Linked DNA regions of Caenorhabditis elegans. The protein of the gene in region 1 purifies or fractionates together with the protein of each later gene. This does not show direct contact. Each region holds a gene or a part of one and is shown in the gene's direction. Other genes may lie near its edges. The genes, in order: atx-2 and pab-1.

Region 1 (7,772 bases):
GAGAACACGAGAATCGCCTGAAAGCATCTGGCAATGATTTCCACGTCGACAGAGCTCATCTCGATCGTCGGCCAGTGTTTTTTCTCGATTCTCGCGAGCTCGTGGAGTCCCGGCAGGCACAACGAGAGAATGCTGGAAAAAATTATATAGAAAATATAAATAGTTCTACTTTACTTACTCGTAAATGTAATTGAGATCATTGGGCTTCTTGCTGAACGATGTCAAGTATACAGGCAGAAACTCTAGCTGCTCGGCGGCCTGGATCCGGTCTTTTGCCATTTTGAGATAGATCAGACTGAAATTCTGGAAAAAATATTAATTTTTTGGGTTATACATCGTCTGGAGAACGCTACAAACCGATGAAATGGCACTCGGGCCTTGGAAAAGTTCGAGCAGACGTGGCACTGGGAGACGGATCGCCAAATTGCTCTTGACGACTTTGTTGAAGTGTGTGAGAAATTCGGTGACCTGGAATCACGAATTTTAGTCATTTTGAATCAAATTTCAGCGAATTTTTGCGTCTTACCAGCTGAATGTGCTCCTGCTTTCTCCCGGCAAACTCCAACACATCGCACAAGTGCCGATCTGTGATAGTTTGTAGCTTGGCGTCCGAGTTGGCGTTGACGAGCCGCAGGAAGACTCTTTCCACTGAAAATTTCAAGTTCATTATGTAAATTAGAAGCTAGACTAGCTTACCATCATTTGCTGAGTCGAGAGACGTCAGCGAAGCTGATTCTCTGGGAGCATCGACTTCCATTGGGCTTTCCATGCTGAAAATACTAAATATTTAGCGTTTTACGAAGAAATTAACGTCGAAAAATGAAGAAATTACACTGAAATTGCTAAAAATTGTTCAAAACAATACGAGAAACTCGGTTTTTCCGCAAAAAGTAAAATGTTCTTGAATTTATTCCAAAATGTCATCAAAAATATTTTTATTTTCAGTCTGCGTCTCTCTTCATCGTGTCAATGGGGCGAACTTGACAAGAGACGTCACAGAACCTTTCTCTACAGAAATTTGAGTCTTGAAAAAAAGACCGAAAAACAGGGGAAATTTTTAAATATTTTTGATGAGCGATAAATTTTAAATTGAGAATTAGTTTTGTTTATTTCAAATTGTATTATCGACAAAGTGTATTGGAAGATAGCGCAGGGAAAGAATTTCTCCGAGTGGGAGTTTCCCCAAAATCTGTGGTGTCAAACAGATAAATATTTCCCAATCGCGAAATTTTGCACGAGAAATGTGGTACCCGGCAAGATAATTTTTTGTCAAATGAAAAAAGTGTGTGCTCCTATGAAGAAATGTCCTATCTTTCTTTTAAGAACAAAATCTGAATTTTGTCAGACCTAATTCAATAAATTGCGGATAAACTTTTTGATTTGGGGAAAATGCTTTTATTCATTGCCCAAAAACTCAACTGTTGAGGCGAAATGTTCATGTTTTACCACTTTCCTTGGAAAAAATCCACTAATTCCCACTATATCGACTTTCCTGAAAACCCCACTGTGTAAAATGCGCGCGGCACACTTGCGAAACCCTGTGCGGCGCACTTGCATAGGGCGGAGTCTCAGGCAATCCCGACGGAAATCGGCGCGTCATTTACCGCATGTGCGTGTCCTCCGCTGTCTGCGTGCTCTCTCGTCTCTCTCTCGAACGTTTTTCAAATTTTTCCGCGAATTTTGTGGATAATTTTCTTCTTGTGGCTCGTTTTGCACGTGGTGAAACCTTGAAAAACGGGATTGTGTTGGAAATTTCAAAAATTTGCCCAAAACTGTTACTCATATTAAACTTCCATTATCGTTGCGAAATTGCTGTTTTTAAAATTCAAATTTTTTCCATTTTCAGGTACATTTCTCCTGTACCCAAACTCTTTGACTGCTCCACAGACAATCTTCTATTTATTTATATTTTATTTGCATCCAAAGTGCGAATGAAAGAAATGGTAAGCGCTGGCAACTTGAAAATTTCTTTAAAAATACAATTTTTCCAGTCAACACCAACGGGTCTTCCTGCGCTAAATGGCGATGTGTTGAGCGCCATCAATGATATGATCGGACGTGTAATTATCATTAATACTACGGACAAAAAGCGATATTCTGGGGTGCTGGGCGCCGTGTCTCAGGATTTCGATTTCGGGATGCAGTGCGTCGTGGAAATTACGAAGGAGAACGAGAATAACTTGCTGAGAACAGAGTCGGAATGCAGAGACAAGATGGTATTTCACTATAGTGATATTGTCGATTTTGCGTACGTTACGCAAGAGATCAAGAAGCAGCATGCTGGTAAGAGCTGTTTCAGGGAACTTTTTCATTAAAAAAAATGCATGACATCTTTAATTTTGGGCCAAGTCGGGTTCACAGTTACGATTTTTAATCCGAAAAAGCTGAAAAACTCTCCATTTTCAGTCAGCAAATTCGTCACCGATAGACAATACCACGGAGATACTCCAATCGAGGGCGAAGAGCTTCAGGAATGGAACGGAGGTGAGGAGGACGGACTCGGAGGATCCATTGAGGACGACGTCGTCGTTGCTGGTGGACAAACCGCCGCTCGTCGCAGCAACAATCACAACAACGGCACCGGATGGTCGGTCAACGACATGTTCGCCGCCAACGAGAAGATGAACGTGGTGTCGACGTTCAAAGAGGATTTAACGCAATACACAACGTAATTTATTTGAATTTTTTCGCTTGAAAAATCCAGGATTTTCGGAGTCTGCAAGCGTTTTTGGGCATCTGAATCTATTTTTTTCAGTTTTGCCTTGAAAAAATCTTGTCACTGAACCATTTTTGCAAAATTTTGCATAAAAATGTCCTGAAAGTTGATAATTGACAATTTTCAGGTTATTTTTAAGCATTTTTTCGAATATTTCTACCGAAATCAGTGTTATTCTCTGATGGATCAAGTGCTTTCCTATATTTTGACCCGATTTTTTAATTTTAATTTTGGAAAACATCGTGCAAAGCAATAAAATCCCAAATTTCAGCGTCGAAGTGGTAGGAACCGACGAAGATCGAGCACGCGCCGAGCGGCTCGCTAGAGAAATTGAGTCCAACTCGTCGTCGAAGTTTATGGCGAACTTGGAGAACGACGACGACGAGCGAGATTTGGACAAAATCACGCGTCAAGAGGATTTCGAGAATGGCAATGGCCGAAAGCGGTTGGAATTCTTTAAAAATTTGAATTTATTAATTTAAAAATTTATTTGTTTCAGCAATAATAACAGCTTCAACCAGCAACAACAACAGCGCCGCAATCCGAATATTGCACCAAACGGGCAGCCAGTGAATCGACGTGCCGAGGGTCTTCGCGGAGATCGTCGTAATAGTGGAAGCTCTTCAGCGAACAATAGTCGCTACGGTGCTCCAGCAGCGGCTCAGCAGAACTATTCACAGAATCAGCAGCAGCAGCAAGGTCAAAAAGGTTATCGCCGCCAGAACGAGGAAAATGGTTCGTGTACATTCCCGAGAGTACAGTGTGTCTCTTTGATCATTATCTCTCTCTCGTTCTCTTTCTCCGCGTCCAACAGTTCTTTTTTCGGTGTATTCCGTTTTCTTGACCCATTTCGCATGACATAATTTCGCTAGCGGCTGCAGCGGTTGTCTTCAGCTGATTAATTGGAGTGTTTTTCCTCGTGGGATGCGGAAAAAAGCGATTTTTTTTTTGCAAATTTTCAGCAAAAAAATCAGATTTTTCCCATCAGAAAACCAATTTTTCATTCTTTCCTCACATTTTGATCACAGAAATACGAAATAATTCTGCAATAGTGTTATTTTCAGTGGAAAAATCGTTTTTTTTTCCGATTTTTGACTGAAAAACGTTTTCTTTGTGTCAGAAAAAACAAGTAAATGCCGATTTTTAAGTGAAAACGCCGAAAAAAAAAATTGAAAAAATGACCGAACGGGTCCCAGTTTATCCATACAAACACACCTGCGTCTCTGATACATGCTTTCATCAAGTCTCTCTCTCTACCTCTGTCTACCTCTCTCTCTCTGTCCGCTTCCTCACCGCTTATCATCTTCATCATCATCATCACAAGTTGGTTGTGTTCTTCTCGAAAAACCGTGTTGTCTATGTTGTGTACCAATCGATCGTTAGGGAGGCGCCACACTTTCTCTCTCTCTCTCATTCCTTTCCGCTCTCTTTTTTCTCGGTGATTTTTTGTTGTTGTGTGTGTGTCTGAATGATGATGAAACATGCGATCGTTCATACCTTTTTTGCCTCCTTTGCAGCTTCACCAGTCCTCAGATCCTTCTAGATAATGGAAATTCCACAGTTTTCGAAGTTTTTAGTGTCTTTTAAAAGAAATCTTGATTTAAATTCCTCTTGAAAATCTGTCAGAATCAGATCAAGAGCATTTTGGTATAGCGTTAAAATACTGTAACCGGTCTCGACACGACATATTTGTGTTTAATGGTATGCACCTTTAAAGAGTACTGTATTTTCAAACTCTTTTTGCTGCGAAATTTCTGTTTTTTCATAGTTTCATATGAATATTCCACAGCAACAAGAGTTTGAAATATTTTTTCAAGGCGCCCACCCTTTTGCATTAAACAAGCTTGTCGTGCCGAGACCGGGTAACGTATTTTTGGTAAAAATTCGATTTTTGATTCCTTAGAAAACAATTTCCGTCGTTTTTGTTTAAACAATGACTCATTCTACTTAATTTTCAGACTGGCAGATGGCCAAGGGGAAGGGCCAGAACCAGGGCCACGACCACTCGTTCCGTCAACAGCAGAAGCAGATGCTGGATCCGAGACCCAACAACAATGTGAAGCCGGCTGACGATAAAGCTCAATCTGCCACCACTGCCACTGCTGCTGCCGGTGGATCCCGTGTGACAGATCTCAAGAACTGGGGCAACGAGTTTTCGATTGCGACGGCTCCAAAGGATCAGGCTCCGGCGGTGCCAGCTGGAAACTCGGGTAGTGCCTGGAATCGCGGACCACCGAGCTCGCTGGTTGCCAAGGGATCATCAAATGAGTCGACTCCACCACCGACAACCAATGGAGAGGAGGCTGAGACTAAAAAAGGTATCTATTTTCTATTTTTCTCAACAAAAATGAACAATTTTGCCAATTTCCAGAAGAAGCTCCATCCACAAGCGTCGATGTGGCAGCTGCACCAGTGCAAAACGTACAGAACGACGCGGAAAAGCATCAGGAAGACGACAATGTTTCCGTTACTTCAGAGAATGATTCAGTGATCACTTCGAAGTCATCGTCGTTCAAATTCAACATCAATGCTCCAGAGTTCAAGCCACGTGTGGCTCCGGCGACTCCAACAGCGACGACTCCAGTGCAAAATGGTAGGAAAACGAACAAAACGGCTTTTTTTCAGTATTTTTGTATCAAAAATTAATACAGAAATGTATGTAGAAAAAAGATAATTTTTGTTGAAAGGTTTGAGAAAGATCTCAAATTGTGTCATTTGAGAGGGAATTTTTAAACCAAAATAAATATTTTTCTAAATACACATAGGTATCAATTTTTGATACAAAAATTTTGGCTGCCAAGACGGAGTTTTAACTCTAAAATTTTCAGAATATCATCCACAACAACAGCCACATCCAGCAATGATGGCTCCACAACAAGGACCACCTGCTCCTGGAATGGGAATGGTTCCACCACACATGGGCGGCCCACAAAATCAAGGTCAACCACCGATGATGATGTGGCAACAGACTGGACAACAGCAACAAGGCGGTGGCGGCTATCCACAGAATCATCAATTCCCAATTCAACATGTCCCAATGCAAGGTGTTCCTGGACAGATGTATGGCCCGGGAGCTGCGACTCCGGTCACTGTTGCTCAGCAGCCAAATCAGCAGCATCAGGTGCCAACCAGTGCGGCTGGTGGTCAGAATCATCAGTTGAGAGATGGAGAGTATCGTGAGAAGCAGCCACTCTACATGCCATATGGACCGCCACAAATGGTTCCAGTCACATCTCAGGTAACCGAAAATTTGGAATATCCCTGTAGAAATAGGGAAAACATTTATTTTTAAAGGCCTTGAATTTTTAGAATTTTAAACTTTTCCTAATCTAAAATTCCTGATTTCTCAATTCCAAAAATTCTAAATTTTTTCAGCAATTCTATCATTCACAGTACCAAGGCCAGATGCAGCAAGCTGCTCCATACCAAATGAAGATGATGCCACAGCAAGCTCCACAGGGTGCCTATCAACAGAGATATCAGCAGCCACAAGTGTACATGATGCCTCCACAGGGTCAGCAGCAGCAGCCGAGATACCAGGGTCCTCCACCACCACAGCAACAGCAACAGCAACAACCGCAGCAACAACAATTCTCCGGAGAGCAAAGTCGCCCACAATCACATCCGAATAGTCAGCCAACGACTCCGGGACCACGTGGCGAGTTGCCAAAGATGAGCGGTGCTCCACAGGTGAGATTTCTTTTTTTTTAAACTTATTCGCATGTTTCCCTCTTTCAAACTTTCTGTGCCTAATAAGATGAAGCTTTTCAATATTGTGACCGTGACTCTATTTTCAGAACGGAAACATGCAGGCCGAGTCGAGCAGCAACGCTAGTCACAGCGGATCGACGAGCTCTCAGTCGGGACAACGAAGCGGATCTCCACCAGGTGCTGTTCCTCCACCACCACCACCACAGCAGCAGCATCAGCAACAACAACATCCACCACATCATGCTCCTCCACACGTCGGAGCACCACCACCACAGATGATGCAGCAGCAGCAGCAACACATTCAACAGTATATGGTGATGCAGGGACCGCATCAAATGCATCCGCAGATCCCTAATTACTATCAGCAGCCTCAGGCATGTTTAATCTCTCTCTTTCTTTCCTTTTTTCAGTGGTATTTTTGATTTTTGGTTTTCTTGTTTTTTTTCCTTTCTTTCAGAAGTTTCAGAACAAAATTGTGATTGACTCTGCTAAATTTTTGTAGATCTGCAAGTTCTACAGCTGAAATCGCCCAGTGAAAAAGGAGAAAAAATTGCCTAATGTTTTTTTTCATACTTTTTTTCTTAAAAATAGCGAGAAAGTTTCGATTCCGACTGTAGAACTTGAATGTGCCCAAATCAACGAAAAATTGGCAAATTTTAGCTGAGATCTCCTATTTCGGCAATTTTTCTGGATAGATTTTTTTTTTGAATTGAATTTTGAGATTTTATTTAAAATTACCATTTTTTGAGAAATATTTGAAAATGTCTCACACTCTATAAAAGAACAAAACCGAGAAAAAAACGTAAATCTAATTTTCAATCATTTTCAGCAAGTATTCTATCCGATGATAATGCCCCAACAGATGCCAATGCAACAGAACCAACATCCTCAACAAAGTCTTATGGGCGAGCGATCTGATCAAGGATTCCCGACGTCGGGATACTTTGACTACCGTACAATGCCAAACTATCAGCAACAACAACAACAGCAACAGCAACAAATGCACCGCCAGAATTCGCTTCCACAGCAGTTCCAAGGCAATCAAGGTAATGTTTTAAATGTTTATAAAGTTCAAATTTCTAACCGTTTATGAAGCTTTGAAGGTGTAAATCCATCTGGTCAACAATCTGGTCCACCACCACCGCCACCACCGTCTCAACAAGGCACACCACGTGATCAGCAGCACTCTCAGAGCCCCCCGTAATCATATCTATATGCGCTCTTCCTGCGCTTTTCAGTGCTTTATATAATGTTTCCCCAATATATATTCATTTTAATATTCTTATTTTCTTCCTTCTCTTCCTTCTTTTCATCAAAAATCCGCTTCTCCCCCCTTCCCCCATGC
Region 2 (4,993 bases), on another chromosome or scaffold:
TTAACATTTGATCATGATGGATGCCCTATACGACCGAAATGGAAGTTTTTTGATTCGCTCATGTTCCTGGACAGTGTGAATCAAAACGATTTTGTGATGAAAAAACGTCCGATGCAATTCCAGGGACAGCCGTACGATTTATACCAAGGTCCCTCTTCTAAGAAAGAGAAACTAGAAGAAATGCCATCTGACGAGTACATGGAATTCTGTCGATCGTTGTACCTCCCATTGAAAGAAATAGGATACAAGGATCGCATACACTGGCTGAAGATCCAAAAGTCCATCCGTGACATCGTTTACGAAGCGCAACTGGAAAGTGTTACTAAAGCCGCACCTGATTTGCAATAAACAATTTGTGTTAAAAATACTGATTCTAAACTGTTTTCAACAATTTATTGTAACAATAACAAACAGCTTATGCGCTCTCAGATGGAACGCTGAGGATGATGTCGGAGTCTCCGGCATCAGTGACTGCAAGGGTGCACACACGGAAGAGACGTCCACAGGCGGTTCCGAGCTCAATGTTGTTTCCGTTGTAGTGGTGAACTCCAGTTTTGGCGAGCATGGCGTAGTACTCAATCTCGGACTTTCTGAAAATTAATCATGAGTTAATAAAAATCCGAAATGATAAATATTGATTTACCTGAGTGGTGGAGTGTTGTTGGCAATGATGACAAGCTTAGCCTTTCCGTTGAGAAGGGATTTGAGAGTCTGCTTGTATCCGAGGACGTATTGTCCAGTCTTCATGACCATGGAGAGTCGGGAGTTGATGTTCTCAGCATTTTTCTTGACCTAAACGAATATATGGATCATCAGGCGTTCGAATATTGGAGAATTCGCGAGCGCTTACATTGAGCACCCGAAGCCCGTGACAGAATGAGCGGGGAAGCTACTCCTTCTCAATTAAATCACCCGAGCTCCGGATTACTCCATCGCTGCTCGAAAATTTAACTCCAGAGAAACTTCACTAACCTGTGGCTTAGCAGCTGGAGCCATGATGATTTACCTGAAAATAGAAAAAATAACTGCGTGAACTTCTAATTTGAGCCACGTAAATAGAGCAAAAGAAGGACGGCACATTAAAAAACAAATAACTTCAAAACGTCTTTACGAAAGCGATCATCCGTACTACTTCAGAAAATTTCAACGTCTCAAAAAATAAGTGGTAAGAAATTCAATTTATAATAGTTTACAGCTTGAAGAATTATATAAAAAGGCGTTTATCTGTTGAAAGTTTGCAACTAAAAAACAGAAATAAGTCGAATAAACTAAAATTTGGTTTCAAAAACATAATTTTCTGCAAAAAAGAAACGAAACAGCGAAAAGTATCAGATTTTGGGCCAGAAATAGGGGCAAAGCAGCGATAACTACGGTTCGCGATGCATTTCGTGGCGAGACCCATCGGCACATTCCCTCCTCCCTTGAAACACTAGTGTGTCTTTTTCCGGTTTTTGGGATCCGAGTTCTCCTGGCTCTGAGCAAAAGGACAGTAAATCCCAATTTAAACTGCTCAAAAACCCATAAAAATTTAAAAAACCCTAAAAATCACCAAAAAAATTATTCTTTGGACGATCCGACACCAAAACGTGAGTTTTATTGATTTTTCCTATTTCGTAATTCGAACCGTTACTTGTTTCCGTGCTAAATTGTTTTCTATGATTATTTGGGAAGGACATATAGTTTTCTGTCTCTTTTTGTTGAATAACAAGTAATTTTTTACCGATACGAATAATTGCTGCGTGTTTCCCGATCGATACTTCCCAGGTCCCGAGATGTGAGCGTTTATTAGACAATTAGGCTAACTCCGCCCTTTCTGCTATTCTTAGCGTACTATCGTCATTTGCTCTTTAGTTGTAGGTAGGCAGACACTACATTAACCCGCGGTCTGGCTAGACGTCGCCTGACTTCCTCGCTAGACGTTGTTCCGTGACCCAACTCCTCACCCATAATAAAAAAGTACGGAAATACGTGACGGTCACTAAAATATTACTTCTATTCTATTTATTCAATCTTCAATTCAGTAAAATCATGGAAATGAACGTCGCTGCTCCCGCTGCCGCCGTTGCTGGCGCTGCTGCTCCTCAACCAGGCCAAAATCAGACCGGCTCGTCGTACACCATGGCTTCGCTCTACGTCGGAGACCTCCACCCGGACGTCAACGAGTCGATCCTGTTCGAGAAGTTCAGCGCTGCCGGCCCTGTTCTTTCTATTCGTGTCTGCAGAGACAATGCCACTCGTCTCTCATTGGGCTATGCCTACGTCAACTTCCAACAACCAGCTGATGGTTTGTTTGTCTCCAAATTCACTTCAATCTTTAATTCAATTCAATTTTCAGCTGAACGTGCCATGGACACCATGAACTTCGAGGCTCTTCACGGCAAACCAATGAGAATCATGTGGTCTCAAAGAGATCCAGCTATGCGTCGTTCGGGAGCTGGCAATATCTTCATCAAGAACCTCGATAAGGTCATCGACAACAAGTCAATCTACGATACCTTCTCCCTGTTCGGAAACATTCTCTCCTGCAAGGTAACGTTTTCTTTAGAGCATTGCCAAACCGCCTTCAATTTATGTTGTACAGGTTGCTATCGACGAGGACGGATTCAGCAAAGGCTACGGTTTCGTTCACTTCGAGACCGAGGAAGCTGCCCAAAATGCTATCCAAAAAGTCAATGGCATGCTTCTGGCCGGGAAGAAGGTTTTCGTTGGCAAATTCCAGCCACGTGCTCAACGCAATCGCGAGCTTGGAGAGACTGCCAAACAGTTCACCAATGTCTACGTGAAGAACTTTGGAGATCACTACAACAAGGAAACCCTTGAGAAGCTCTTCGCCAAGTTCGGAAACATTACCAGCTGCGAAGTCATGACTGTCGAGGGAAAGTCCAAGGGATTCGGATTTGTTGCTTTTGCTAATCCAGAAGAGGCCGAGACTGCTGTGCAAGCTCTTCACGATTCAACCATCGAGGGAACTGACTTGAAACTTCATGTCTGCCGTGCCCAAAAGAAGTCTGAGAGACACGCTGAATTGAAAAAGAAGCACGAGCAACACAAGGCTGAGCGTATGCAGAAGTATCAAGGAGTCAATCTCTACGTCAAAAACCTCGACGAGACTGTCGATGATGATGGCTTGAAGAAGCAATTCGAGTCTTACGGAAACATCACGAGTGCTAAGGTTGGTAAACTTTTTCAAAATGCTATCATATACATAATATTTTTAGGTCATGACTGACGAAAATGGGAGATCAAAGGGATTCGGTTTTGTCTGCTTCGAAAAGCCGGAGGAAGCTACAAGTGCAGTGACTGAGATGAACTCAAAAATGGTGTGCTCAAAGCCATTGTATGTGGCTATTGCTCAACGTAAAGAAGATCGTCGTGCACAGCTTGCTTCTCAATACATGCAACGTCTTGCAAGCATGAGAATGCACGGCAACGTTCCAGGAGCAGCCATGTACAACCCAACACAGCCAGGACCAGGATACTATGTTGCTAATCCGATGCAACAGGTTAGTTTTTTGTTGTTTTTTTTGTAATGCTCGAATTTATTATTTCAGCAGCGCAACTTCGCCGGTGGACAACAGATGGTTCGCCCAGGAGGTCGCTGGGGAATGCAAAATCAGTACCCAGTCCAAAATCAGTACATGATGGCTCAAGGCCCAGGTGTCTACCAAAACCGCATGGGACGTCCACAGAACCAACAAGGAGGACCACGCGGTCCACCACAGCAGTACAATCAAGTCGCTCAAGGAGGCGTCCGCATGCAGGGACCACCACGCACCCAAAATCCTGGAGTCCAACAGCAAAACGTTCCACGTCCACCACAGCAACAACAGCAGCAAAGACCAGCTCCAACCGGACCAAAGGCTCCACCACAGCCATATCAGGCATACCAGCAAAGACCACAAGGAATCGTTATTGGAGGACAAGAGCCACTCACATCTGCAATGTTGGCCGCTGCTGCTCCTCAGGTAAGCTTACTTTGTTTTGCAATACTTAATTTCATGATACATCTTTTCAGGAGCAAAAGCAACTTCTTGGTGAGCGTATCTACGCTCTCATTGAGAAACTCTACCCGGGACACAAGGACGCAGGAAAAATCACAGGAATGATGCTCGAAATCGACAATTCCGAGTTGATCATGATGCTTCAAGATAGTGAATTGTTCCGCTCGAAGGTCGACGAAGCTGCATCGGTTCTCGTTTCCGCTCAGAAGCAATAAGTTCATTGCCAAGTGCTCTTAGCACGTTCCCCCAGTTGCTAAGCATACCCATCTCCTGTTTTTTTTTCTTACTGTCACCCTTCTTTTTGTTACTTGTTAGTGGTTGGTTTAGCCGCCCCACACCCCACCCCTTGAGTAAGCTCACTTTTGTGATGTTTATTCACGTTAAAATAAAATCATAAAAATAATCAATGTTAATGGGCAAGTTATAGAAAAAAAAGAAGCAATGTTACACAGATGCCCTTCGCAAACGCATTCGACACCTTCCATCTCATCCCACAAAACAGCTTTTCTACACCCAATAGGAGAATCGGATGGAACGCAAATTCGTTGTTCACGTATCAAACCATCTGAAATTCGAAGCTGACTGCAATTGTATAATAATTAACTCACTAGTCATGGGCGCTGTTCGTCTCGAACATTTCGGACCAACACATGTTGAACCATCGAAATCACAATAACCTTGAAATGAATCGCAAACGAAACATTGCGTTGAAATTGTTATAGGAATTAATATTAAACAAAATGCTACACTTCGTTTCATCGTGAACATTTAGTAAAATGAGTTAAGTTTTGGTATCCGGTGAGAGTAAACATTTACTACTTGAACACAGGAATTCGACTACTGTTCGTGACTCTAGAGACTATTAATATTGGAGAAAGGAAAGTCAGCGTTTTGTTTAAAGACACAAAATATAAAAGAAGAATCAGCAAAGTAAAAAGTTTATAAAAATTAAATTATGCAATTATAAGAAAACGTCTAAAGTTCATCGTGAA

The links.
Region 2: the proteins of atx-2 (region 1) and pab-1 purify together in Caenorhabditis elegans (affinity purification with mass spectrometry, with the first as the bait; one study listed by BioGRID). This does not show direct contact.

Annotation. Positions count from the first base shown.
Region 1 is NC_003281.10:10,459,782-10,467,553, forward strand, and holds atx-2 (Sm domain-containing protein), read left to right. Parts: upstream 1-1,607; coding exon 1,608-1,943; intron 1,944-1,991; coding exon 1,992-2,283; intron 2,284-2,406; coding exon 2,407-2,668; intron 2,669-2,987; coding exon 2,988-3,161; intron 3,162-3,215; coding exon 3,216-3,451; intron 3,452-4,674; coding exon 4,675-5,034; intron 5,035-5,087; coding exon 5,088-5,309; intron 5,310-5,544; coding exon 5,545-5,954; intron 5,955-6,091; coding exon 6,092-6,406; intron 6,407-6,513; coding exon 6,514-6,805; intron 6,806-7,260; coding exon 7,261-7,473; intron 7,474-7,522; coding exon of another isoform or gene 7,523-7,530; coding exon 7,531-7,631; downstream 7,632-7,772. Other genes in the region: ecps-1 (Proteasome component Ecm29 N-terminal domain-containing protein), read right to left, coding at 1-132, 179-303, 358-468, 527-648, 697-769.
Region 2 is NC_003279.8:10,432,267-10,437,259, reverse strand, and holds pab-1 (Polyadenylate-binding protein), read left to right. Parts: upstream 1-2,021; 5' UTR 2,022-2,028; coding exon 2,029-2,284; intron 2,285-2,335; coding exon 2,336-2,529; intron 2,530-2,581; coding exon 2,582-3,172; intron 3,173-3,218; coding exon 3,219-3,503; intron 3,504-3,551; coding exon 3,552-3,965; intron 3,966-4,015; coding exon 4,016-4,216; 3' UTR 4,217-4,399; downstream 4,400-4,993. Other genes in the region: madf-10 (MADF domain-containing protein), read left to right, coding at 1-348; rpl-30 (Large ribosomal subunit protein eL30), read right to left, coding at 416-590, 644-792, 973-996; Y106G6H.1 (Saposin B-type domain-containing protein), read right to left, coding at 4,977-4,993.